6 linked regions of the Oryzias latipes genome follow. The protein of the gene in region 5 interacts with the protein of the main gene of each other region in a pairwise test. Links are inferred from orthologs where the notes say so. Each region holds a gene or a part of one and is shown on either strand. Other genes may lie near its edges.

Region 1 (4,210 bases), on a different chromosome or scaffold from region 5:
TCAGAATCACATTCAAAAACCTTTAAAAAAGCAATGGTCCACAGAATAATTGCAAATCATTTGGATTATTTTATTTTTAACGCTTAGCTTAGAGTGTGTACCTTTCTTCTGACATGGTTCAAACACATCTCCATACGTGGTCCATGAGTTTAAAATATCAAAGGTTTAACCAGCTTTGTGGCGATGCGATACAGTCCAATTTTATCATAAACTTTTTTACTAAAATGGAAACAATCCACGTCTGTTATTGCACTATAAATGAAATGCGTCTTAACAGAGAAACTCCTTGATTTTATTTTTAAGTAACAAAAAAAGAGTCTAAAGGACATAAGTGCTTTAAAAGAGTCAAACCTGACATTTCGGGTCTTTCAGACGGTCTTGTCCGTTGATGTCATATCAAAGTCTGTCATTACTTTACTAAAGCATGTTCGCAGTGCCGTGAAAAAAGGGTTATCATGTGTTTAGTGAACATAAACCTCACTGTGGTTCACCTTCTGCCAATTAGGATTGGTAAAAACACGCGTGTGATTGAACATGTTTGTTTGCATCACACATACATGCACAGACAGTAGAGACACAACAGGAAGACAAAGGTTACCAGAGACTGATTATTTACTTCTGGGTCAATTTGATCCCTTTGTACCCAACAATCTTGTCAGTTTCTGTTGTTTCTAACCACTCTTAGTATTGATTTGTTTAAATACATATCTTATCACTTAGATGCCGACCTACTATTCAAATTCAATTTACCGGTCTCTATAAGAGAAAAGGGATTGTCTGACTTGTTTGTTTTATTCTACAAAATAACTTGAAACCAACTTGATTTCAGTAAATGTGGACAGAAAAGTGAGGTGTGAGCTTTCTTCTGTCACAGCAATGATTTCTAGAAGAAAAGACGGCTGTGGCGTTCCTGTACATTCATGAGTTGGTTTATATTGGGGCAATATCTTGGTTGTTTAGCTCTAAATGACCCTAAATGGGAATGAGGGATGGATGGAATTACAGTGAGGGAGGTTCTGACTCCCTCAGAGGACTCCTGTGTGTTGAGTTCCCACTAAAAAGCTTTATTACGGTTCAGGAAAATCAACGTTCTACTTAAACATTACAGTTTAATAAAAGGCCGAGAAGTGTTCTCATGGAAAAGGATGTCTGCTTCTTCTTCTGCTTCTTCTTCTTCTTTTCGCTGACTGATCCTGTCATTTTCTGACCCTGTGGGTTTCAGATGATTGACATGATGACAGAAGTGTCTGCAGAGGAGAAATCGGAGTGCAGGGGTTCTCCACGGGGGTAAGTCCCACAGTCAAATATAGTTCTGCAGACGTGTCAGTCCCGGGCTGGACCGGGACCTGCTCCCACCCGCCTATATATACATGTGGAGGGAAGGAAGGGCCCCCACGCCACGGCGCGCGCTTTCAACCAAACCCACCAAGAAGAAGAAGAAGAAGAAGAAGAAGAAGAAGAAGAAGCTCGGCCTTCACCTGCCGTTTTCACCTGGATGCGTCAATCACGCTGGCCTGCATGTCGTTCTCCGTGACACCACGTGACCGTCTGATTGGCCCGTCAGTGGTTTGGGGGCGGGCGCTCCCAGGCGTTTGCTGAAATCCCATTGGAGGACAGCATTCAAGGTTGATGTGACGCAGCTTGGAATTCCCAAAGTTTTCGAGTTCTCTGGAGGAGAAATCTGTTCTCCTTTGGCAGAAAAGACCCAGGAAAAGGTTCTGCAGAGCTCTGGTCCACAGGAGCAGGTAGGACCGGGTCGGCCCGGGTTGACAGCGCCGCTCCGGGCTCGGAGGAGGAGGGGGGGATTAGCGCGTGTTTGTGAGGCGCGGGGCTGAGCGGGGACACGGAAGTGCGGGATTGGGAGTTTTTGGGCTCCTTTGTTTATCTCCGGGAGTGAAGGTTCAGACCGGTGCAGGTTCTCCAGGGAACCCCGGTGGACAGGTGAGGATGGCGTTCTGCGCGCTCTCGATCAGCGCGTTCTCGCTCCGGTCGATAACGGTTTATTGGATGAATGGATCATGAGACAGAATGATCGATTACAGATTTATTGGAAGAAGTCCAGATGTCTGCAATGTTCCGCTGCGCAGCAGCTTCATACCATGTTGCGTAACGACCACCGGCCGCTTATCCGCGGTGCGCAGAGCAGCTTAGCGCCGGTTACGTAACGGCTTAGAACCCCGCGCACGCTCCGCCGTCCGCTACCGTCGCGTCTGGAGCGGCAACCGTGAAGTCCCACAAGGCATCTCGGCTCTGGTATGTTAAACTGAAGGCTGCTGTTGTCATGCGCAGAACATCCGAAAAGCCAACCAGCCTCCTGCTGTACCGATTCTGGCCTGAAGGGGGCGATGTCGGACAGCAGCAACAGCACCGGCAGCAGCGGCTCCTCAACCAACAGCTGGACCCTCCTCTCTCCCGAGGTGAGCAGGGGCGGAGTCGCGATGACGTCACCTCAGGTTCATGGCAGTACTTTTTTTTTTTTTTTTGCTTTATTGAACACAATACAAAACAACACAAGAACATTTACATAAAATTAACAAAATATGGCGAATACAAGAAATAATACTGCAATTTGAAAGGAAGCAAAAAAACAAAACAAAAATTCTTATCAGTATGCATATATAAACCTGTCCATAGTCATAATCATAGAGAAATTAGGGAAAAGTATAACATAAGGAAACAAGAATTCCAGAGTTGGATTATGTTATAATAAAATGCAGGGGGGTACAACAGATAAATAAATGGTCTCGAATATTGGGAATTTATCAATATCTACTATGATGATCAGCCAGTAACCGTGTTCATCTGCTATATGGGACACAATTTTGTCTTGGAAGTTTTGGAGAAGTACAGCGACCCCTACTGATCTGGAATTGCCATGACGGAGGAAACCTTGTCCCCCCCCATTGCTGACACCAAAATGATTTATCTGCATTTGTAGAGTGCGTTTCTTGTAAAAAAAAATCAAAATCAACATTTTTCCCTTTACAAAATAAAAAAAAAACAAAAAACAAATAAACTTTTTCTCTTTGTTAGATCTCTCAGACCTCTTGCATTTAAATAAAGTAAAGAAATACCTGTTTTAAGGTGCAACATGTAACAAAAAGGCAAACTTAACAGACCTAAATGAGGCTGAAAGTATTACTGAACAAAAACTTTTAAGCAACAAAACCTTGAATTTACAATAACCATCTTAACTAAATAAATTGCAAGACTAACTAAAGTCATGGAATGACTCTCTGACCATTAATGAAAGCATAAGGACCACGAAACATTGTCTTACAACCATTCTTTCTCGCCTGCTCAACTTTGGGCCACACCGCTTTCCTTGCCTCTCTGTCTTCTTTGATGAGGTCTTCTGCAAAGCGGATGTTGAGGTCTGGACAGACTGGATGGTGTTTAGTCATTCGCCACAGTTCGTCTCTGTATCTCCTTCCTGTGAACTGAATGATGATTTGACGAGGGCGGTTGACGTCGGTTGGGCCCAGCCGGTGTACCGTGTCCAGAATGTTGTCCACTTTCTCTGTCCAGGGTGGTGCGATCTTTGTGATGAGATCTGCCACAATTCCTCCAGTGTCTTCCCCTTTCTCTTCTTTACCGCCATTTAGTCTCAAGTTCCATCTTCTCTTGTATCTTTCCGATTCCAATGTTTTCTTTTCCATCTCTGATGTTCTCTGCTCCAACTCCACAGTTTTCTCTTTCAGACGTTTCACTTCTTCTTCCAACTTTTTATTTCTGTCTTTACATTCTTTGATTTCAGCAGAGTTTAATTCCACAGCCTTGGCTATGGTGGATATAGTCAGAGTGTTTTGCTGCAGCTCCGACTTAAAGTCCATCATCATGCCTTTGAGGCTTTCAATTGCAGCCAAGATTGCGGCGTTTGAGGCTTCTCCTGGTCTGAGAGAGCGGGTTGCATCTGGTCTTAGCTTGTTTTGTGGCGCAGCTGGCTTCAAAGGTGATGCCACGCTGTTTTTTGTCCCCTTAGCATTTGTTTCCATGTCCTCAGGCGTGCAGTAGTCATGTGGAAACAGCATTTTAGCTCTAGCATTAGCTGTAGCTTTAGCATTGGGTTTAGTAGCCATGCTCGTATAGTTATTGGGCCTGTTAGGCAATCTTCAGTTGGCTCCTAAACTTGCTTTGTTTTATCTTGATATCCAGTGGAGAGTCGGTTTTGTAACTATTCCGTCCTAAAGTAACATTTTCAAGGTTATGT
Region 2 (4,004 bases), on a different chromosome or scaffold from region 5:
GCGGTTCTGTGAGGAACCGGGCCGTTCCAGTCCAGCGGCAAGGACCCCTGAAGGGGAGCGAACACAAATCTCAAAATGATCTCATTGTCTTCCGTCCTCCACTCTGTTGGTGTCCTTTTGAAAATCTAAAGCCATGCTTGGCTCAGTCAAGTGATGTCTATGCTGCAAATGTTTACAGTGCTGTTTGTAAGATACTTTGACAAACGGACCGGTCCCGGTGGATTCTCTGCTCTGGTCGGCTGTCTTTGACTCATATTTATTTTCTCTTTTCTTGTTTATATATAATATATAGTTCATGTTTTTTTTTCCATTTGCTCTAAATTACCCATCTTATACTGTGACCCGACTCGACTTTACCGACTGTAAGAATGAGAGACTAACACACTTCAGCTGAACACGACACACAAACATGAACACACAAACAGGAAACTGCAACATGCTGTAAAATGTAAAGAAAATATATGGAATTTAAAATGTTCCGAGAAAATACTGTACAAAACAAATAAAGTTATGTTGCAACCCTTTCAAGCTGGTTGGTTTCATTTCTCAGTCGTGTAAGTCTGTTCCCTTTGAACCTAAATACGGTTCAGGATTTATTACGCCTTTATTTTTACCCTGTAGTCTGTGGAGGAGGCGTCTGGATGAAAGTTCATTCCACACTTAGGATCATCTTCAGATTCTGACGGGTCTACAGAAACACTCAGGAAGCCTCAACAAGCTCACTTCTGTCTGTCCTGATTGGACAAAAGGAGTTCTTCTGTCAAACTACTGCTTTATTTAGTTTATAATTCAGAAAAAAGACAACGCAGCTATGAAAAAGCCTGCCCCTTTTCTATATGAAAATATAAATCTAATTTGATTATTTACAGGTAAACATGATTTAAAAATGTATACTTTGGATTTTTCCTCTGGTTTATTTGTTTAAATATTTCCAAAATTCAGTTTTACAAAAAAGTACATTATTTAAACGCGGAAATAGTTGAAAAAATATACATTTAAAATGTGCTCACTCTTGGGGGTGAATTTTATGCATCACTTAAAGTTAGTTTAATTTGTGAATACATTTGATTAGAAATGCTTCCATCTCATAACTGAGTTTATGTTTTAACAAATAGTTGTAGATTGTTCAACGTCTGAGGTTTGAGGCTTTGTTTCATTATTCCTGCACTTCCTTCCTTCATCCAGCAGGTGGCGCCAAACTGCAACAGCGACATGAATCTGACGCGGAGAAGAAGAATCTAAAGTTATGAGCGGAAGTTAGCTTCAGTCTCACGCTGAGATCGAAACCTGAAATTCTGAGACATATAAACAGTTTCTTCCCGCAGTCTTCAGGTAGGCACCTCGGCATTACCTACCGGCGTGTGGTAGAAACCTATATACAGGTAATCTGTCTGTCTACGGCCATGTCGCTACCGGGCTAAGGCGGACAGGTATATTAACTAACGACGCCAGCCCAGAGTCATCATCAGATCATCATGTTCGTTTAGAAACATCATGTAGCAGCTAAATATGCTAATTTAGCCTAAAACTGGAGAGATCCTCTCAGGAAATCGGTGTCATACGAAGCTGTCGCTGCGTAAGATTTCAGTTTCACAACCAAAAAACCAGAACATTCATGTTTTCCCCAAATGACAATTTGTACACTTTGTTAATCTGCCGAACCTTTGTGCGCAGGCGCAGTGGGGTGGTGGGGTTAAGGTGAGCCAAAGAGCGCGCGTGTGTTTACAGCGAGTTTAAACTCAAATGAATTTGGACTTTTAATCTGCTTTTCTTGAGTCCAGCTGCAGATTCTGCGGAACTTTAGTGAACATGGCCGTGTGTCAGAACCAAATCCATGGAGAACAAAGAAAGGATCTAACAACACTGGACACGTAGTGACGTACGCTGGCGATGTTCCCTGTGCCGTGGACAGTCAGTTTTGGTTTTAGAAAAGCATTGTGGAAACTGGAATCTGTATAATCAAAGCCTCATTTGGAATCAGCGGTCAGCAGTGACACCTGGTTGTGGGTTTGAATCCAGCACGCTGCCTCTGGACGTTTACCTGACCCCCCCATCATGAGTGCCTGGCTGAACTGCTGTCTGATCTGCAGATGTGGTTCTCAGTAAAAGAAGGTTGTTGATTTGAGTTCCGTCTTCATGACACAAAAACAGGTTTAAAGTCCAGTTATGGGAAACGACGACGTGAATGTTTAGGTTTATGCTAAAACTGTGATTTCCTGCATCTCACCGCCCCTCACCAGCCATCTTTGTCCTCTTCAATCTTTCAGCAGACATGAAGAAAGAAGACACGGAGGAGTCTGCCAGCCCGGCCTTTGAGGCAGCTGCACCCCCACCTGCAGATCCGGAGGCAGCTGCTAAAGGCAGTCCGGCCTCAACGAGTCCTGAGACTGATACCCCACCACAAAGCCAAGGGGGAGGAGGTAAGCGGTGCCCTGCGAGGAAGAGCATTTGATGAAGAGTTATCCACGCTGAGCATTCACTGAGTAAGACTGTGTTCTCCTGGGAGGCTGAAGTTTGGAGGTTATCAGAGAAAGGCGCCGTGGTGCAGGTGCCGCGGTGCAGACGCAGCTGTGCAGTCGACCCGATGCAGTTGCTGCTGTGCAGACGCCATTGTGCAGTCGCCCCGGTGCAGTTGCTGCTGTGCAGACGCAGCTGTGCAGATGCCGCCGTGCAGTGGTCATGAATGTAGTCTCATGCTGCTGCCTGATCAAAGTCTCAGATACCCGTCTCAGCACTGACAGATCAACCTGATGATGTCACACTAAAACACATGATCATTGGTTGGAATAATCAGAATCAGGACAATTATCGTTACACCTGTATGTCCATCACAACATTTCTGTAAGAACTTCAAAAAGAGAAATGATCTGAAATGTGTTCAGACGCAGAGGCTGCCATGTCTCAGTCCGATATGGCAGACGAGCTGAGCCGGCAGCTGGAGGACATCCTCAGCACCTACTGCCGGGAGTCAGAAGACGCTGGTGCCTTGCTCAATGGCCAGTCGCACAGCCTGGTGCTGAACGGGCTGAACTGTGAGAAGGAACACGAGAAGTCTGAGGACAGCAAAGTCAACGGCGGTCACAAGTCAGAGAAGGAGCAGAAGAAGACTCAGGAGAAAAAAAAAGTCAAAGGTTTGGGTGAGGACAAGATGACGTTGTCTGTTTTCAAACAGTTCTGTTCTTCTAAAGATGGCTCTGACGCTACTTCTGGTTTTCTTCTAAAGGGAAGGAGATCACCCTTCTGATGCAGACGCTGAACACCCTCAGCACTCCGGAGGAGAAGCTCACCGGCCTCTGCAAGAAGTACGCTGAACTGGTAAGCCGCTTCTCCAGATCTATGTGACCCCAAACAAACCCGCGGCTGCTGGAATCAAACCCACGGCTGCCGGAATCAAACCCACGGCTGTTGGAATCAAACCCACGGCTGTTGGAATCAAACCCACGGCTGCTGGAATCAAACCCGCCGCTGCTGGAATCAAACCCGCGGCTGCTGGAATCAAACCCGCGGCTGCTGGAATCAAACCCACGGCTGCCGGAATCAAACCCGCGGCTGCCGGAATCAAACCCGCGGCTGCCGGAATCAAACCCGCGGCTGCCGGAATCAAACCCGCGGCTGCCGGAATCAAACCCGCGGCTGCCGGAATCAAACCCGCGGCTGCCGGAATCAAACCCGCGGCTGCCGGAATCAAACCCGCGGCTGCCGGAATCAAACCCGCGGCTGCCGGAATCAAACCCGCGGCTGCCGGAATCAAACCCGCGGCTGCCGGAATCAAACCCGCGGCTGCCGGAATCAAACCCGCGGCTGCCGGAATCAAACCCGCGGCTGCCGGAATCAAACCCGCGGCTGCCGGAATCAAACCCGCGGCTGCCGGAATCAAACCCGCGGCTGCCGGAATCAAACCCGCGGCTGCTGGAATCAAACCCACGGCTGCCGGAATCAAACCCGCGGCTGCCGGAATCAAACCCACGGCTGCCGGAATCAAACCCGCGGCTGCTTCTAAAGCT
Region 3 (4,123 bases), on a different chromosome or scaffold from region 5:
CAATGAGGAGCAGTTTTTGTTTGATCGGGTTACTGAATGTTTGACATAAACTAAAAACAGTAAATCAAACGCAGCTCCAGCAGCTTTTCCACCACAACATGTCTGTCAGGAGGAAACTGGGCAGCTTACCAGAAGGTGTTGGAGTTCCTCCAATGTAAATAATGTTAAATAAAAGTTTGGGTCTATTTTACTCATTCCAATTGAATTGTTAAAACTGGTCCAAAAAATCTACAAAAAACAGTTTTTCTTTAATGTGAAGTAAATAGTTTTTTCCTGCTAAAATTGGTTACTTTTATTATAGAATAATTCAACTGGTTAAATCTATTACTTATAGGATTAAGTACTGGGTAACTATAACTGCCAACACTGATGAACTGTAGGTTTTGACCTAACCTGAGAAGAGGGGAGCCTCACCTTCATCTTTTCAGTCTCCGCCTCCTTGGCCAACCCGTCCACTGTGCTGATGAGACCGCCCACAATCTTCTGGAATTGTCCGATCTCTGCAGAGACACAGACCTATAGGAGCTTTGGGTGGGACGGGGTGGACAACAGATCCGTGGATTCTTACTGTCCACAAACTCTCTGCACTCCTCCTTCAGCTCCGCCGTGCTCTGGCTCACATCTGGCTCTAGAACCCGCAGCTTGTTTACCTCGTCAAAGTGGAAGCCAGCTTCAGCCAACGGATCTTTAGCCATGGAGTCTCCTGTGGGTCAAATATTGTGTTATTTCCAAAACTCCTCAAACACTCAGCACCAGTTTAACCACCTGACAGACGCAGGAGTTTGATCCACAATGATAAACACTCTTTATAAAGTCTAAAAAGAAAAAAAACATCTTTTAAAATGAAAAAATTATTATAAAGAGTTGTTTCACATATGGATGAATGTATGTAGGCTAGATTTGACTTTATCCTTTTGGATGTAACGGACACTGAAGGACTTGGGACTGATGCTTACCGTTTCTTCCATTCACCATAATACTTTACTGACCGTACCAGAGTTACCAAACATGCTGATACAGTCCAGTGATGTCTAGCGTCAGCCACAAGTCCAGTTATGGACTGTTAACAACCAGCAGGAGTTTAGAAAGATACAATTACTGCCTTACAGGACAAAGATTGAGAAGTAATTTGAAAGCTTTGCATTTTGGCTTGTCTATTTCTTTAACACAACAGATAAATTCCGCAACTGCATTACTTTAGTCCAGTCCAGTAGGACAAAATAATATAATTTACCATAGTATTATGTACTTGGAAGCTTATGAACAGACCTTCAGTCAGTGTTAAAAGTTTTCAGAAACAAATGGAGGAATGAAGATGTCTGTCCAACATTCCGAAACCGCATAAACAGATGTTTATTTAAATTCAAAACTCTAAAATTGCGCTTAAAAGCTTTTACAAAAATAACGTTTTAGCAAATAAAAATAACACACAAATTACACCCATTCCAATTTGCTTCCACACGCCTCTTCACCTCTGAGCTATGTATTTAAAGTCCTCCACCTTCTTCTCCTCTGCTCCCTGTAACCTCACCGTTCCTCTTTAGTTCCTCTCATTTACACATTCAGTCTTTCTGGAGCTAACCTTCATTCCTCTCCTTTCCTGAACAAACCTTTACCTCTCTAAAGTGTTCCTCCTTCTGCTCCCTGCGCTCACTACAGATCCACAGGTCATCTGCAGACATCACGCTCCACAGAGATTCCTGTCAGTCCTTCTGTCAGTCTGTCTAGCACTACAGCAAACAAAAAGGATTAAAGCTGATCCTTGGTGCAGTCCAACCTCCATCCCCCCTGAACAGATGAGTTCAGGATGGATTAATCTGATTAATAATAATAATAACAATAATAATGAAGTGTTTGTGGCAGTTTGCGTAATTGTGTGGCTCTGTTATACCCTCTCTACATCCAAAAAGCGTCAGAAACAAAATATACATTGTTTAGTTTTTGAGCTGGGCTAGACTTTTAAACATTAAAATTAGTGAAATGCTGCCTCCAGCGGTCTTTCATAGCACTGCAGTGTTGGGTACTTCCTGGTTTCGGGGGGGGGGGGGGGGGGTAGTGTTACTGTACAAATTGTTTTCATCTTTATTGTGAATCTTAGTCCATTTAGCACCAATTCAATGAATGAAGATTATTTATTTTAATTTCTACATTTACACCTAAACAACCCCCCTTCATGTTTTTAACCACGTTAAATGATTATCGCGCCGTTCAAAGCTGTAATCCATGCCACAAGAATTGTTTTGGTGACTAATCTGCACACATTGTTTGTGTATTTTAGATAATAAAGTTTTCTTTAAAAAAAAATCTATGGGTGACGTCACAAGCATCGATTTTCTACACTACAGTAAGAAAATACGTCAAAAATAAATGAATAAATAAGCAACAAACTCAGACTAGATCTGAGTAAACAAGAACGTTGAGTTTTTCTGTCCCGGCGACCTCAAAAAATGCCTCTAAACTTGGAGCTCCACAGTCTCAGACTTTGGCAGAAGTGTTTGTACACGTTGTATGAACCTCTCAACCATCTTTTTTTCCCCTCTTCGATTTTTTGCGGCTAACAGCTAACGAGCTAATACGTAGGAGATGACAAATTAACAGCTGTTAGCCTCCGTTAACCATTCGTAAAGAATAGTAAACTAAACTTTGGTTGTGGAAACGGACACTCACCTTAATAAACCCCTGACGTTACTCTGCACGGCTCCGGTCCTCCTCATAAGGGGTCCTACTAAGACGTTCCGCCTCTTCCTCCTCCTGCTACCAAGGCAACCGCACAAAGCGCCACTACGCGTGCGCACTAGCTTACCGCCGACCTCTGGTGGTACACATTCTCGAGAAGTCTTTTTCACGTGTTTCTGATATTATCGTTCATTTAAAAACAAGAATCAATTTACAGTCAGTTTTAAAGCCACCATGTGCGCGTGCAATCATCAGGTTCATCCTCATAGTTAAACCAGGTTAGGCTAAACACCCCAGTAGGTAGACCCACCCAGCGGTAGAAGTTTAGACAAGTCTGGTTCCTTTCGCAAGTTCAAACGTCATGACTGGATGAAGAGATAAGCTCAAAGAACCAACTAGTTCTTTATGAATTGAGATGATAAGACATTTTTTAAAAGACATTTTCGTTCACTCATAAGAACACTTTAAAATGTACAGACATGGATGATGTGGCTTCACTGAAACTTCAAGTGGAAATGAGCAGCAGCTATCTAGACCAGCTGGAGGCGCCAGAGGGGAGCCCATCTGCCTGAGATACATTGTTACAGTGATCCAACGGGGATGTAATGAAAGCATGGAATACTGTTTTATGTTTTTTTTTGGAAAAAATGCACAACTGACATCTCTCTTTTCCCCTTCTTGACCAATTGCAAATTTGTCACATGCAAGATATGACACAAAATCAATACAAGTGTAACATACAAAGAGGATGCACACATGCTTTCATCAGTAGTACATACCTTAAAATCGTAGATTTTTATCAAGGTGTTTATGGGCTGTGTTAAATTTAAAACTAATACAAACACTAAAGAAAAAATATATCCCATTCAGAGTATGTTTTCCTGCATAAAAAACTTTCTTAAGCAGGAAAAAACTAGAAAATCAGATCAACAACTATCAGTATCATTTAAACGCTTTATTAAAGAACACTGTCCCAAAAGTCCCCTTTTTGCAGCATTACTCAGATATTACACCTTTCCGTCAAAACCTTTCATCCTGTATCTGTTCATCCCCTAGTTCTTCTCTGAGACTTCCACTGCAGGAGATAGAAAAAAAAATTATGCATTTGTTAATTAGGCCTTTCATGGAAAACATGGAGGAGTTTTATGGCTGGGGGGGGGGGGGGGGAATCGGAGAACTACTGAGTGCTGCTGGAGTTGTTAATAGCTACAAACATGCTCAGCTGAGGCGGATTGTGAAGCTGGCTCAGGTTCATGTCAATGTAGTTGGAGGCTTCTCAGATAGATCAGGAAGCTTTCATCCTGATATGTCTTGTAGCTGCTGCTCACTGTTAGATTTTTTGTTTTTATTGTTATTACTGCTCTGCACTGGATTATCTCATGGTGTGGATTGGTGGACGATTTACCTGGTTTGTTCTTACCTGGACTTTATTGGCACTGTTGCCTAA
Region 4 (2,419 bases), on a different chromosome or scaffold from region 5:
ATTCCAGCTGAGCCAGAGGATGCAGAGGAGGTCACCGCCGCCAAAGAGGCAGACGGCCGCAAGGACCAGAAACTGGAGAAGAAAATGCTGAAAAATCTAGGTGTTTTCTTCGTCGTGTTGGATTCAGCCTATTTGACTAAAGAAATGCTGTTAGTGCAGTGTGTGTGTAGGTGGAATAGTATTTGCTAAAAGGAAGACTACATCCTCTGCTTTAATTCTCACCATTTGGTTCTAAAAGGTTCTAACGGTCAGAACCAGGTCAAAGAGCAAACTTCCATCCATACCTTCATTTTCTACACTGGCTACTTCCTGTTTAGTTGCTGGTCTGTCCAGCTGCTATCGGGTTCACCCGGTCAGTTCGCCGGTCCACCACAGCGCCGCCAAAACACCCGCCGTGTAAAGATTCTGTTTTCTGAAGGAATTTCCGTTCAATGGGCTGAACTTGAAGTTCAAACGTTAATGGTTGACCTCACAGAAGCTTTAGGGAGCTTCGGGTCCAGAACAGGCCCAGATAACCAGACTTCCACCACTGTGCTTAACAGTTGTCTGGAGGTTTTTCCGTTTAACGATCTCCTAGTCCAGTTTTTTGTCATTGACAGAGCTGTGAATTATGACCAAACATCTCCATGGTTCACATCCTGGTCAGATATTGTTTTGGACCTCAGCACCACCATATGAGCCGCTGTTAGGTGGTCCACTTCAGTCCCAAGAGCTCTACAGACCAGAGCAGACCGAACCAGACTTTACCTGCATTTTCCCGCCTTTTAACCCTTGTGCTATCTTATGGGGTCCAGATGACCCCACCCTTACATTGACGTGTTCTCCCTACCATAACAAAGGTGGAGAGGATTTCATGGACACCAGTGAAGATCACAAATCATTGAAGAAAAAAGGTTCAGTGCACTGTCTAGTGGGTCTAGATGACCCAACTCCCATCGTTAACGTGCCTCGGACAGCACAAGGGTTAAACCAAGTCTGCCCCTCTCTTAGGGGGATGGAGACCTCAACGGAATTGGAATAGAGACGAAAAGGTTAATCTCACATAACTCATGTTCTGCGAGTGTCGCGCCAGAGTCACGCGTTTGCAATTAAGGAACCGCAACTCCATTTGAGTTTATGTATCCTTGGCGCAACAGCGAGCTCCCGTGATTTTAAGTAGAAACTGAAACCAACGTTTGTATTTCCAACTTGCAGCAGTTGAAATAGAAGTTTTTTTATCAGAACAACACTGCTCTGGTCTGTAGAGCTCTCGGGACTGAAGTGGACCACCTAACAGCGGTTCATATGGTGGTGCTGAGGTCAACGGAGGTACTTGGAGTTTGAGATGTTCCTCTGAGTCAAATAAACCCAGGACAGTTGACAAATGTCCTCCTCTCTTCCACTGCAGAATGATTCTCCTGGTGTTGTTGGGTCAAATAACCCTAACATTGTGTGTTTGTTCAGGGAAGGAAGCCATGCTGCTCATGCAGAGTCTGAACAAACTGGATTCTCCTGAACAGAAGCTGGAGGCCATCATAAAGAAGCACGCTGAGCTGGTGAGGAAGGTTGACCCCGGTGAGGGCTGACGCCAACACACACGCTAACATGCTAACCTGTCTGCAGCTGGAGGAGCACCGCAGTGACCAGAAGCAGCTGAAGCTTCTGCAGAAGAAACTTCTCCAGGTGCTGAAGGAGAAGGACCAGCTGCAGGGCGAGCACAGCCGGGCCGTGCTGGCTCGCAGCAAACTGGAAGGGCTCTGCAGGGAGCTGCAGAGACACAACAAGACTCTGAAGGTAAACCGGCCGGGGGGGTCCAGTCTCTGCTCAAGAGCCGTCAGAGGAGCAAGACGCCGACGGTCATTCGAGATCTCCAACAGGGAGTAGGAGGAGATATTTTACAGCTTCAACTTCCTGAATCCTCAACTAAACCAGAAAAACAACCAGACAGACAGAAGAGAAAAGATAGAATTTAAAACAAAGACATTGAAATCAATCCTCAAATTATGAAATCAGTGTTTGATTGATCCACTGATGTTAAATGAGGTGATCTCTAAGATACTAAAACAAAATATTAAAACAATGTTTTTCTATGTTTTTAAGGTTCAAGAAGGAAACTTTCTGCTTCTGTAAGGCCCAAAAGGAAAACATTTGATCTGATTTCCTTTGATTTCTAATGACAGAATAAAGCCGTTGACTAATCAGAAGGAAAAAGGTGCTCAAAAAGGACCAGGTAGAAGAAAAGCCGTATAAATCCTTCCCCAATCTTAAAAAAACAACTTTAAAACTTTCAAAAGAAGTCCCAGAAATAATCATAAAAAACATTTGATGCCATAAAAGAAATAATGAAAAATCCTGACGTTGTAGAAAATATAAACTATACTTAAGCAGAATACAGTTATAATAATTAAAAAATACTCAGAGGGGAGGTTCAGCTGTCGGT
Region 5 (4,107 bases):
CTGCAACGGCTGCTGCTTTTTGCTCAGGAGCTTCTTGTCGTGCCTCCTGAGGCTGAAGCATGAAGAAACGTTGAAAAGCAGCTTTAAAGGAAACTATAATCCTGATGAATATGGCGAAAATAATATCTGTACACTAAACAGATGCTCAGAATGTTTCTGTAACGCACACAGGCAACCAGATCCCTGCTATTCAGTCTATATTACTAACTGGTTCCTTATTTGTTGTGTAAATAAAGCAAGATTGGAAATTTCAAAACTACAAAAGAGAAATATGTGGGTCAAATCGAGATCAGCTTGAAGGGAATGAAAAACCACAAAGTAAAATTAAAAACAATTGAGAAAATTAGTGAACAGTTTTAAATTCAAAAGTACACTTTGGTTATTTTAATTAAATTAAATTTTAAAAAATAAATAAGTAAATAAAAGTACATTCTCAACTTAACATAAACCTAAACTTGTCATCAATTCAGAATTCTGACTGTTATCTGGGGCTTTGAGCCCATTGGCTACCTGGACATGATTGACATCAGGTCATAAAGGGTATGATGATGTCATTTCCGCTCCACAACAGCGGTAGTTGTTGGCGCCGCCTGTGTCATCCCTCCTCTGATGTGGCGAACAGTAGTGATAATTCTCTCCCAAAGTTTGGTACATCAATACAAAACAGCAGCTGTTACAAATATATGTTAATTTTCATTTGGTAACAGTTATAAGTTTATAGTTTTTCTTTTTAATTTTAAGTTTCAACTTAAAAAATTATTTTTCAAATTTTCTATATTCCTCTCAAGTTTAAAATCTTTTTTTTTTTTTCAAAGTTACAATTATACTTTTCACATTTACAACATTTCTTTCACATCTGTTTTTGAGTTTAAAACAGTTTTAAATTTTATTTTTTGTGTTTTTTCCTTCACTTTAGGTTGATCTGGATTTGACCCCATAGGAATTCTACATTACACAAAAATTTTGTAAAGCTATTTTAGGATTATTTTCATGTTTGTCATAAAATAAAATAAGAAAATCAATAGAGATAATTATATATTAAAAAAAACTATAGTAAAAAGGTAAATCATCGGTCGACCTTTCACAATATGAATGTACCATAATCCTTATGTATCAGGTTTGAATCTATAAATTTGTGAAAAACTGTGGGGGAAGGGGGGGTTGGGATATTTGTGTCTTTTTTATAACAAGTCTGAACACTCACCACTGAGGAAGGAACTGCTCCCACTGAAGACCCATCTGTTTGGATTTGACTGGTTGGAGTGGGCCCATTTGTCTGCACACTGTGCTGCTGGTTCAGTCCATCTACTGTGACCTCCTCCAGCCCGGGAATGGAGGCCAACTGCTCCACAAAGACAAAAAACAACAACAAAAACATTTGTTAAAAAAAGAAATGACATCCATGACAATTTGAAAAGGGTGTGACAGCTCACCTTAGCCTCCAAAATGCACAAGGTGGTATCAATCTGCTGGATGCGAAGGGATATGTTTGCAAGTTTCTGTGGGGGAAATGTTGATATTTTGGATTGATCGAGTTCCCACCATGAGGGCTTCACACATTTTGACACTGATAAATTCAAAGTCAATCGAGTTTAAAGTCCCAATCATCAACTTTTGATCTATATTGAATGTGTTTCCATTGGTCTTTTAACTATGTTAATGTTGTTTTTTAGGCAAAAATGTAAAAAAAAACAAAAAAAAAACTGTTGTTCGACAGTTGGTGCAGAGTAAGCCCGCCCCTACTTCCTATCATCCATCTGTTTACATGCTCTCCCCAAGCTTACAGCCCCTCAAACACCCGTAAACTGACATTAAGAGGACAACAAAAATGGCGAGCAATTTTGGAGCTATCCAGCCGTACAGTTTAGAGCCAGATTCCAGTTCAGACGGGGAAAACAGAGACATACATGGATCTATTTGTCTGCAACAAATGGATGCATCAGCATGGAGAGGAGCAGGAAGCTTGTGACCCATCCGCCGCATTTTCTACATCACAAATACAATCTTTTTCAAACTGCATTTTTTCGTCTGCTCCCGATTTACAACAATTTGAATTAAATAATACTCAAAAATGCAATTGTAAGCTTAATTCCCTTAAGTATATTGAGATGAATCCCACAAGAAACACGTTAAATACAGGATTTCCATCAAAGTGGGTCTTTAACGATGTAAAAGATGCACAAACCTCTTCACAAACTGTGGAAAATCGGTTCAGGAATCGAACTGTGTGGACAACAAACTGATTGAGATAGGCAACAATTCGTCTCTGCTGTATAGCTGGAACCTAGAAGGGAGTTTAAAGTCATTTAATCAGGAAAACGATGACACATGAGAGCGAGTCCTATCAGATTCTGGAGAAATTTAGAGTCATGCTTAGTGCCAGCCTTTACAAAAACATGCATTTTAAAGTAAAAGAAAACACGAAAAATAATTCTGCAAATACAAAATCGTTGGGAATATTGATTGAATCCTATTATAATGTGATTAAAATCATGTTTATTATCCCATAAAGTCTTACTTGACTAATCTTTCAGCTACTTCTTTCATTCCCACGGAGATCTACAAGCGAACCATGACTGTTAGCTAAAAAAAACACAAACCTTCGTGAGGTCAACTCCAGACCCCACGATTGGCAAACCGTCCTCGTCCATGCTGGGTCGTTAAAACTCCGCGCAAACGTCCAGTATCGTTTATAATCTGTCTACATGGGGTGTAAATAAAGAAAACAGCACATTAAAAAGGTTTGTAGTGAAGGTTTCATGTGACTTGCGTAATTACGTCATAGCGCGTCCTATTCCTCTTGTCACTTCCGCTATATTGCACCAATGGCCTAACACTTCAGCTTTTATTTTGAAAACTTTAAAAAAATGTGTCTAAATAGAAAAATAAACAAAAAATTAAATAAAAAGAATTACAAGAAGAATGGAGAGGATTTAAATAAAACTACAAGGATATTTTCAGGTCAATGAGTAGAAAAGCCCATTGAGACGACTGTTGTTTTGAATTTTGGCTACACAAATAAAATTGAATTGAATTAAATTGAATTAAATTGGATCTGAAGTTTAAAATTGATTAAATAATAAATATCAACACTTAAAACCCTAATTCCATTTTATAGCACTGTTATTTCACATCTGGTTTAAAATACTATAAAGTTTAGTCAACAACCAACTTTATCACTGCGGTGAAACGTCTTAGTTTTTGGGCATTTAACTTGTGCACATAATCTATTGATAATACATTTAAAACAATACCATCTTAAATAAAAAAATATACATACTGAAATATTCGTGTTTATTTGCGAATATGCATAAACTACATAACAATGTTTTCGATTTTGAATCTGAAAACTCTTATTTTGAAAGCGGAACCCTCAAAAACATTGGAGGAAACGATGTTTGCGTCCCAACAGCGCATGTTAGCTAGAAAAACCAATAAAAAATATTTTTTTACAGTTACTGTTATTTTCAGACTTTTAACGCTGGACTATGCAAATGGACGTTTTTGGGTCAAAGAAGCAAACTAATCGTAAGTGTATTCAGATTAATAAATGTAGTCGTAAATCACGTTTATGCTTTGAAAATACTCTTTGGGACCCGACTAACTTAAGGAATGGTGTGGAGTATAAACTGGCTAACTGTTAATGTTGATGAAATCACAGGTAGTTTTTTTCTGTTATGTGATACATTACGTTTACAGACCAGTTGTACTTTTTATTGTTGTTGAATTTTAATCGTTTCAGTCAATATATTCCCATGTTAAATCGTTAACATAGATGTAAATCCAGCATTTATTTCAATTTCATAACAGATCATGAAAGGCACATCGCCAATTTAGCATTTGTTAAGGTTAAGAAAATTCTTTTTTAGACAATTTAATATCTTAAATTTAAAATTCAGCACATCATTTTTTTATTTGTAAGGTAATGCTACTTTTGAGTGGGGGTTTTTCACCTCTAGTAGTAGCATGAACATGCCTAAAAACAGGCTAATTACTGCCCTCTATAGGCAATATTTTGCATCACACCTTTCTTTTTCAGACCCCAGCTTGCCTCTGTCATCCCTGCGTCTCTTGGTTCCCCCTCTCCAGCTTTTGTCTGCTGCTGTG
Region 6 (4,270 bases), on a different chromosome or scaffold from region 5:
ACCTCCAGCTCGGTCTGATGGTCGTCAGCGATCCTCAGAAACGTCTGAGTGGGCAGAACAGCCCCGTCACTCAAACCCTTATTTTACTGCGAATCCAGCTCGTACACACACCCAAAAACAGAAATGTTTTAATAGATTTTTATTGTAAAGAACACATTTTGTTAAGTTTCTGGTTTAGGCTGCAGTGTTGAAATGTCCAGATTCCATCCGTTAACTTTGATTCTGGGCTCTTAGGATCTGTGGTCACTTGATCTCATTCAGACAACAGATCCTCCAGTTTACTGATCTGACGTTTCACCATGTGACCGACCTGATTTCTATAGAGATCAGCCAATTGTTCCAAGACTTCAGAATTCATAGAAATGCTGCTTGTACCAAAGGAAAGTGGGGTTTGGTGCTAAACCAGAGATGAGAAATGCTTCTTCTGCAACGATTTGGTGAAGTTTGGCTTGAAAAACGTTCAGGACGATAAACTCAAGGTTTCTCTTCACCCCATTGTATGTTTAAGACTTTTCTTCTGCAGTTGTAATACTCAGTTGTTTGTGGTTGAACGCTTTTCTGTTCTTGTTTTTAATCAGGTGTAAGAACATGGAGGTGCCTATAGAAAAAATCTACAACAAAACCCAACGGGAAAAGTTCGCCTGGGCCATCGACATGACGGAGGACGACTTCGAGTTCTGAAACTGAACTTCCACAGACGTATAAACTCACACCAAGTGGCAGCTCAGGGACCTTTTGCTTTATCCCATGTAGAGTAAATGAATATTGTATTGAGGGGATGTTTATGAAGTGCTGAGGTTCTACTACTGCAGTTCAATAATCAAGCTGCACTTTAATGGATGTTTACTGCTACTTTTGGTTTGAAGACGGTCTGTTACATTTTGTTTGCATACACTTGAATAAAGGTTCCTACCATGCGGTAAAATAAGGGATGTTTTAATCATTCAATTTGGCAAAATCTTAGTTATACACTCGTTAAGTGGCACATTTCCAATTCTGCTCATTTCACGTCAGAATCCAACAAATTCATGAACAACAAAGAGCATTGAACCTGCAGATCGGATGAATTCAGTAGTTATGAAAGGTCTGTGGCATCAGACGACTCTGCCTCATAAGAGAAAATGTAGAAACTCTTAGCACCGTGGTCTATTTATCAGCACCTGGTCAAAAAGGAGAAACTGCTCCGTACATCGCTTTAATAGAAAATCAGAAATGGAATGCATTCTGCATCTCGTTGCCAACAGTGCTGCGCTGCGAGCTCCGGGTGTTCGCGGTTCATCGTGTTGGGATGAGGTTCTGCTGGCCCGTTACCAAGCACGGACCGGAGAGAAGAACCGACGCTGGCGGCTCGAACGTCCAGGTCAGGGCACCAAATACACAATTCTGAAGGGCAGGTCACACTAATTCAGATTACTACTACTCCACTTCTCACATCATGACATAACTGTAAACCGTTAAACCATTTTATATATATATATATTTAAAAAAAGCATTTCACACCAAATCAGAAGTCATCGGTAAAGAACTTTGACTTCACATCATTTCTGACCCTGTGGGACAGACAGAAAATAAAGCTGATTAGGAAATCTACCAGAACAAAGAAATTCTACAGGGGTAGACCGTTTTTCTTCACCTTCATGATGATCCTTGGCTCTCCTTCGGCTTCTCTGGTGTCGCCTCGGCCTCCTCCACACCAGCCTGGGTCATCAGGTCAGCAATGTTTTTCTCCAGGTCATCGATTCGTGTGCTCATCTCATCAAGTGGACACTGTTAAGGCAAATCTTTTTTTTTTCTAAGCAAACTGGAGTCCTGTAGAAAAAGACACCGGGACATTTGATGTAGAGTATGAGAAATGTAAAGACGACCATCAGAGCTCTGGCTTTCAAAAAAGGATATTCCTCCCGATGATCTGGTCTGACATTGTCTGGAACTTGTCTTGCATTTGCTGCAGGAGCGTCTGGACCTTTAGAAAAACAAAAGAAGGCCACAAACTTTAATCTGTCAAACCCAACAAGAAACAGTACAAGATCAAGCTGTGAGCGGCCCAAAAGCGCTTCCCGCCCTCTCAGTCCCCTCCTCACATACCCCACTCTGGACATAGCTGCATGTGAGAGAAAAACCACTAAAAAGGAGCTAAGACCTTCATCTTCCAGTCAACACACTAATCAACACCTAATGTTTCAGAAGAATCGAATACAGTCTGTGATTTAGTAGGTAGAGGTGCAACTTAGACCTTTAGTTTTGGTTCATTTCCATGGCAACACTATTGGTATCCACACCAACAGAAGTAACCTGGGTGTTGCGAGAACTGCTGATTATTATTATTACAATAAAAATGTAAATTCATATACTTGTTATTGAAAATGCTGATTAAAGAAGATTTATGTAAATTAAATTAGTCAGGATGAAGTGCTAATCAGCTAACAATGTCTTTTATATGGTGATAAACTAATAAATATTTAGTGAGATCGATCAGAATTTAGGTGTCAAGTGGTAAAACAAAGGGGGAAAAGGCAAAAAGGAATCAAACTTAATACTCCTTTAGATGCAACCTGCATTTGATTTGTTAGCAGTATAGTTAGCATTGCTAGCTACATCCATATAGCTAGTCCTAGCTAGCTTGACGGTCCAAACTCACCACGTTAGTAAGGTCCTGCACTGATTTGGGATCTGTTTCAGCCATGGTGTGAATAAAACTGTATGTCCGGACCTTCACGGCGGTTAAATTTAAGGCGCTTTATATTCGATTATTTAGCCTCAAGGTTCTGCTCGCCTGTACCACCCACGGGAGAGTCAGCTGTGCCACAACACGGCAAGTCTCGCGAGATTTGCTCATGGGCTGAGATCGGTGAATTTGCAGAACCCTTCGATACAAATAATGCTGTGGATTGACGACAAACATTAGGTTGTATGTATATTTATAAAATAATAACACATTTGAAAAATCAGTTGACGTTCTTATGTTTAGATGAAAAGAAAAACATGAAGCTGTAAGATTGAAGCGGAAATTCTAGACCTGTGTGTGTTTATGCGCAGCCGTGTGTGTGTGGGGATGCGCGCACACGTCTCTCCTCCTCCTCAGCGAGTTGGGATTTGAAAGTTGGAGCTGCGGGATAACTCGGCGGGTTTTCACGCCGAATTCACTGCGGGAGACGGCAAAGTTCTGTTGGACTGAAGGCGATCGGTGAGTAAAGCAGAAAACTGACGGTGCTGTTGTGCATCAGAAATGCGGCTGTTTGCGTAAAGTTCAGATTTACGCACGCGTGCAATAGGCTGAAACTTCACGGTTGCTTTAAACTCAGGCTTACCACGTGGTTTTTATGCATCATTCTTGAAGTTTTATTTTTTTTAACGAGACTGCAGCTGTATTGAGTTTGTCCCAAAGGAGCAGCAGCTCCGGCATGGATGTGTGTGGAAGTCCTGAGTGACATGAAGAAGCAGGCACTGCTGGCCCTACCCCGTGAAAATATGCTCCGCTTACATAACATTGAGTTTCCTCTTTTAAGAAGCTTCGGTACATTTCAGCTTCCATTGTTAGTGTTTACTTTCAACACATAAACAAAAGGAAATAGCAGAAGCCTCACAGTACTGAATAAATTGTGCAAAGGTTCCCTTAGAACGGGTTTTAACTTCCTCCAGGCTTGTGCCTAGTCTAACTGATTATAACCTGTAACTTTTTTTATCAGAAGCAAACAATTACTGAGCTTTATATGTAACTTAGACGTGACTTTTGCTCTTCAAACTCCTGCCATAATGCTGAGGTTTGGTGTTTAATGTCTTGCTGCTGTTCTTGTCTTTTCAAAATTAAGCGCTGCTTAAGTTACAGCAGTGGTGACGTCTTAGCTGAGTTTGGCACGATTTTCTGAATGAAATCTTTGTCAAGTTATACTTTAAAAAAATGTTCCCACCTCCTTTGTAACCTCCCTGTATTTTCTTGGCATGCGCACCTCATGCTTTTGTAGGCACAACACAAGGGAGAAAGTCCCTGGGTACGCTGTATGGAGCTAAAGCTTTAAGGGTGTTTTGAAAGCAGGCAGGTCATCTGTGTAACTCAACTATCGGTGTCCACAGCAGCTGCAGTGAAACTGTTAGTAAGACGAGATGCTGTCTGCAGTTTAAACTTATCTGCAGACTGGCAGACCCCTCCCTTAGAGAGCCACATTTCTGCTGTGTAGGAATGTCAGTGTTGAATATTTCTTTTTTCCGTCATGTGTGTGTGAGTTCCAAACCTGATTCAATGTGGAGATGATCTTGTAACGCACATTGGATT

The links.
Region 1: the proteins of washc3 (region 5) and pre-B-cell leukemia transcription factor-interacting protein 1 interact in binary tests that used the Homo sapiens proteins (3 or more experiments, as listed by UniProt). The two-hybrid records come from large-scale screens. The link is inferred for Oryzias latipes from reciprocal best matches to the Homo sapiens genes WASHC3 and PBXIP1.
Region 2: the proteins of washc3 (region 5) and txlna interact in binary tests that used the Homo sapiens proteins (3 or more experiments, as listed by UniProt). The two-hybrid records come from large-scale screens. The link is inferred for Oryzias latipes from reciprocal best matches to the Homo sapiens genes WASHC3 and TXLNA.
Region 3: the proteins of washc3 (region 5) and ift20 interact in binary tests that used the Homo sapiens proteins (3 or more experiments, as listed by UniProt). The two-hybrid records come from large-scale screens. The link is inferred for Oryzias latipes from reciprocal best matches to the Homo sapiens genes WASHC3 and IFT20.
Region 4: the proteins of washc3 (region 5) and beta-taxilin interact in binary tests that used the Homo sapiens proteins (3 or more experiments, as listed by UniProt). The two-hybrid records come from large-scale screens. The link is inferred for Oryzias latipes from reciprocal best matches to the Homo sapiens genes WASHC3 and TXLNB.
Region 6: the proteins of washc3 (region 5) and hsbp1 interact in binary tests that used the Homo sapiens proteins (3 or more experiments, as listed by UniProt). The two-hybrid records come from large-scale screens. The link is inferred for Oryzias latipes from reciprocal best matches to the Homo sapiens genes WASHC3 and HSBP1.

Annotation. Positions count from the first base shown.
Region 1 is NC_019869.2:891,970-896,179, reverse strand, and holds the start of pre-B-cell leukemia transcription factor-interacting protein 1, read left to right. Parts: upstream 1-1,410; 5' UTR 1,411-1,745; intron 1,746-1,776; exon of another isoform or gene 1,777-1,941; intron 1,942-2,289; 5' UTR 2,290-2,345; coding exon 2,346-2,417; intron 2,418-4,210. UniProt on the Homo sapiens protein: Regulator of pre-B-cell leukemia transcription factors (BPXs) function. Inhibits the binding of PBX1-HOX complex to DNA and blocks the transcriptional activity of E2A-PBX1.
Region 2 is NC_019869.2:26,633,968-26,637,971, forward strand, and holds the start of txlna (alpha-taxilin), read left to right. Parts: upstream 1-1,204; 5' UTR 1,205-1,332; intron 1,333-1,365; exon of another isoform or gene 1,366-1,382; intron 1,383-2,267; 5' UTR 2,268-2,272; coding exon 2,273-2,420; intron 2,421-2,882; coding exon 2,883-3,137; intron 3,138-3,223; coding exon 3,224-3,315; intron 3,316-4,004. UniProt on the Homo sapiens protein: May be involved in intracellular vesicle traffic and potentially in calcium-dependent exocytosis in neuroendocrine cells.
Region 3 is NC_019871.2:17,867,205-17,871,327, reverse strand, and holds the start of ift20 (intraflagellar transport protein 20 homolog), read right to left. Parts: upstream 2,801-4,123; 5' UTR 2,668-2,800; intron 1,731-2,667; exon of another isoform or gene 1,617-1,730; intron 704-1,616; 5' UTR 696-703; coding exon 569-695; intron 501-568; coding exon 415-500; intron 1-414. UniProt on the Homo sapiens protein: Part of intraflagellar transport (IFT) particles involved in ciliary process assembly. May play a role in the trafficking of ciliary membrane proteins from the Golgi complex to the cilium.
Region 4 is NC_019880.2:1,123,869-1,126,287, forward strand, and holds part of beta-taxilin, read left to right. Parts: coding exon 1-100; intron 101-1,443; coding exon 1,444-1,535; intron 1,536-1,602; coding exon 1,603-1,773; intron 1,774-2,419. UniProt on the Homo sapiens protein: Promotes motor nerve regeneration. May be involved in intracellular vesicle traffic.
Region 5 is NC_019881.2:17,521,068-17,525,174, reverse strand, and holds the start of washc3 (WASH complex subunit 3), read right to left. Parts: upstream 2,801-4,107; 5' UTR 2,652-2,800; coding exon 2,601-2,651; intron 2,285-2,600; coding exon 2,186-2,284; intron 1,500-2,185; coding exon 1,434-1,499; intron 1,343-1,433; coding exon 1,205-1,342; intron 53-1,204; coding exon 1-52. Other genes in the region: zinc finger protein 252, read left to right, coding at 3,489-3,528, 4,040-4,107. UniProt on the Homo sapiens protein: Acts as a component of the WASH core complex that functions as a nucleation-promoting factor (NPF) at the surface of endosomes, where it recruits and activates the Arp2/3 complex to induce actin polymerization, playing a key role in the fission of tubules that serve as transport intermediates during endosome sorting.
Region 6 is NC_019864.2:28,979,185-28,983,454, forward strand, and holds hsbp1 (heat shock factor-binding protein 1), read right to left. Parts: upstream 2,801-4,270; 5' UTR 2,684-2,800; coding exon 2,639-2,683; intron 1,964-2,638; coding exon 1,897-1,963; intron 1,761-1,896; coding exon 1,636-1,760; 3' UTR 1,634-1,635; intron 1,551-1,633; 3' UTR 682-1,550; coding exon of another isoform or gene 579-681; 3' UTR 125-578; downstream 1-124. Other genes in the region: DNA topoisomerase I, mitochondrial, read left to right, coding at 579-681. UniProt on the Homo sapiens protein: Negative regulator of the heat shock response. Negatively affects HSF1 DNA-binding activity. May have a role in the suppression of the activation of the stress response during the aging process.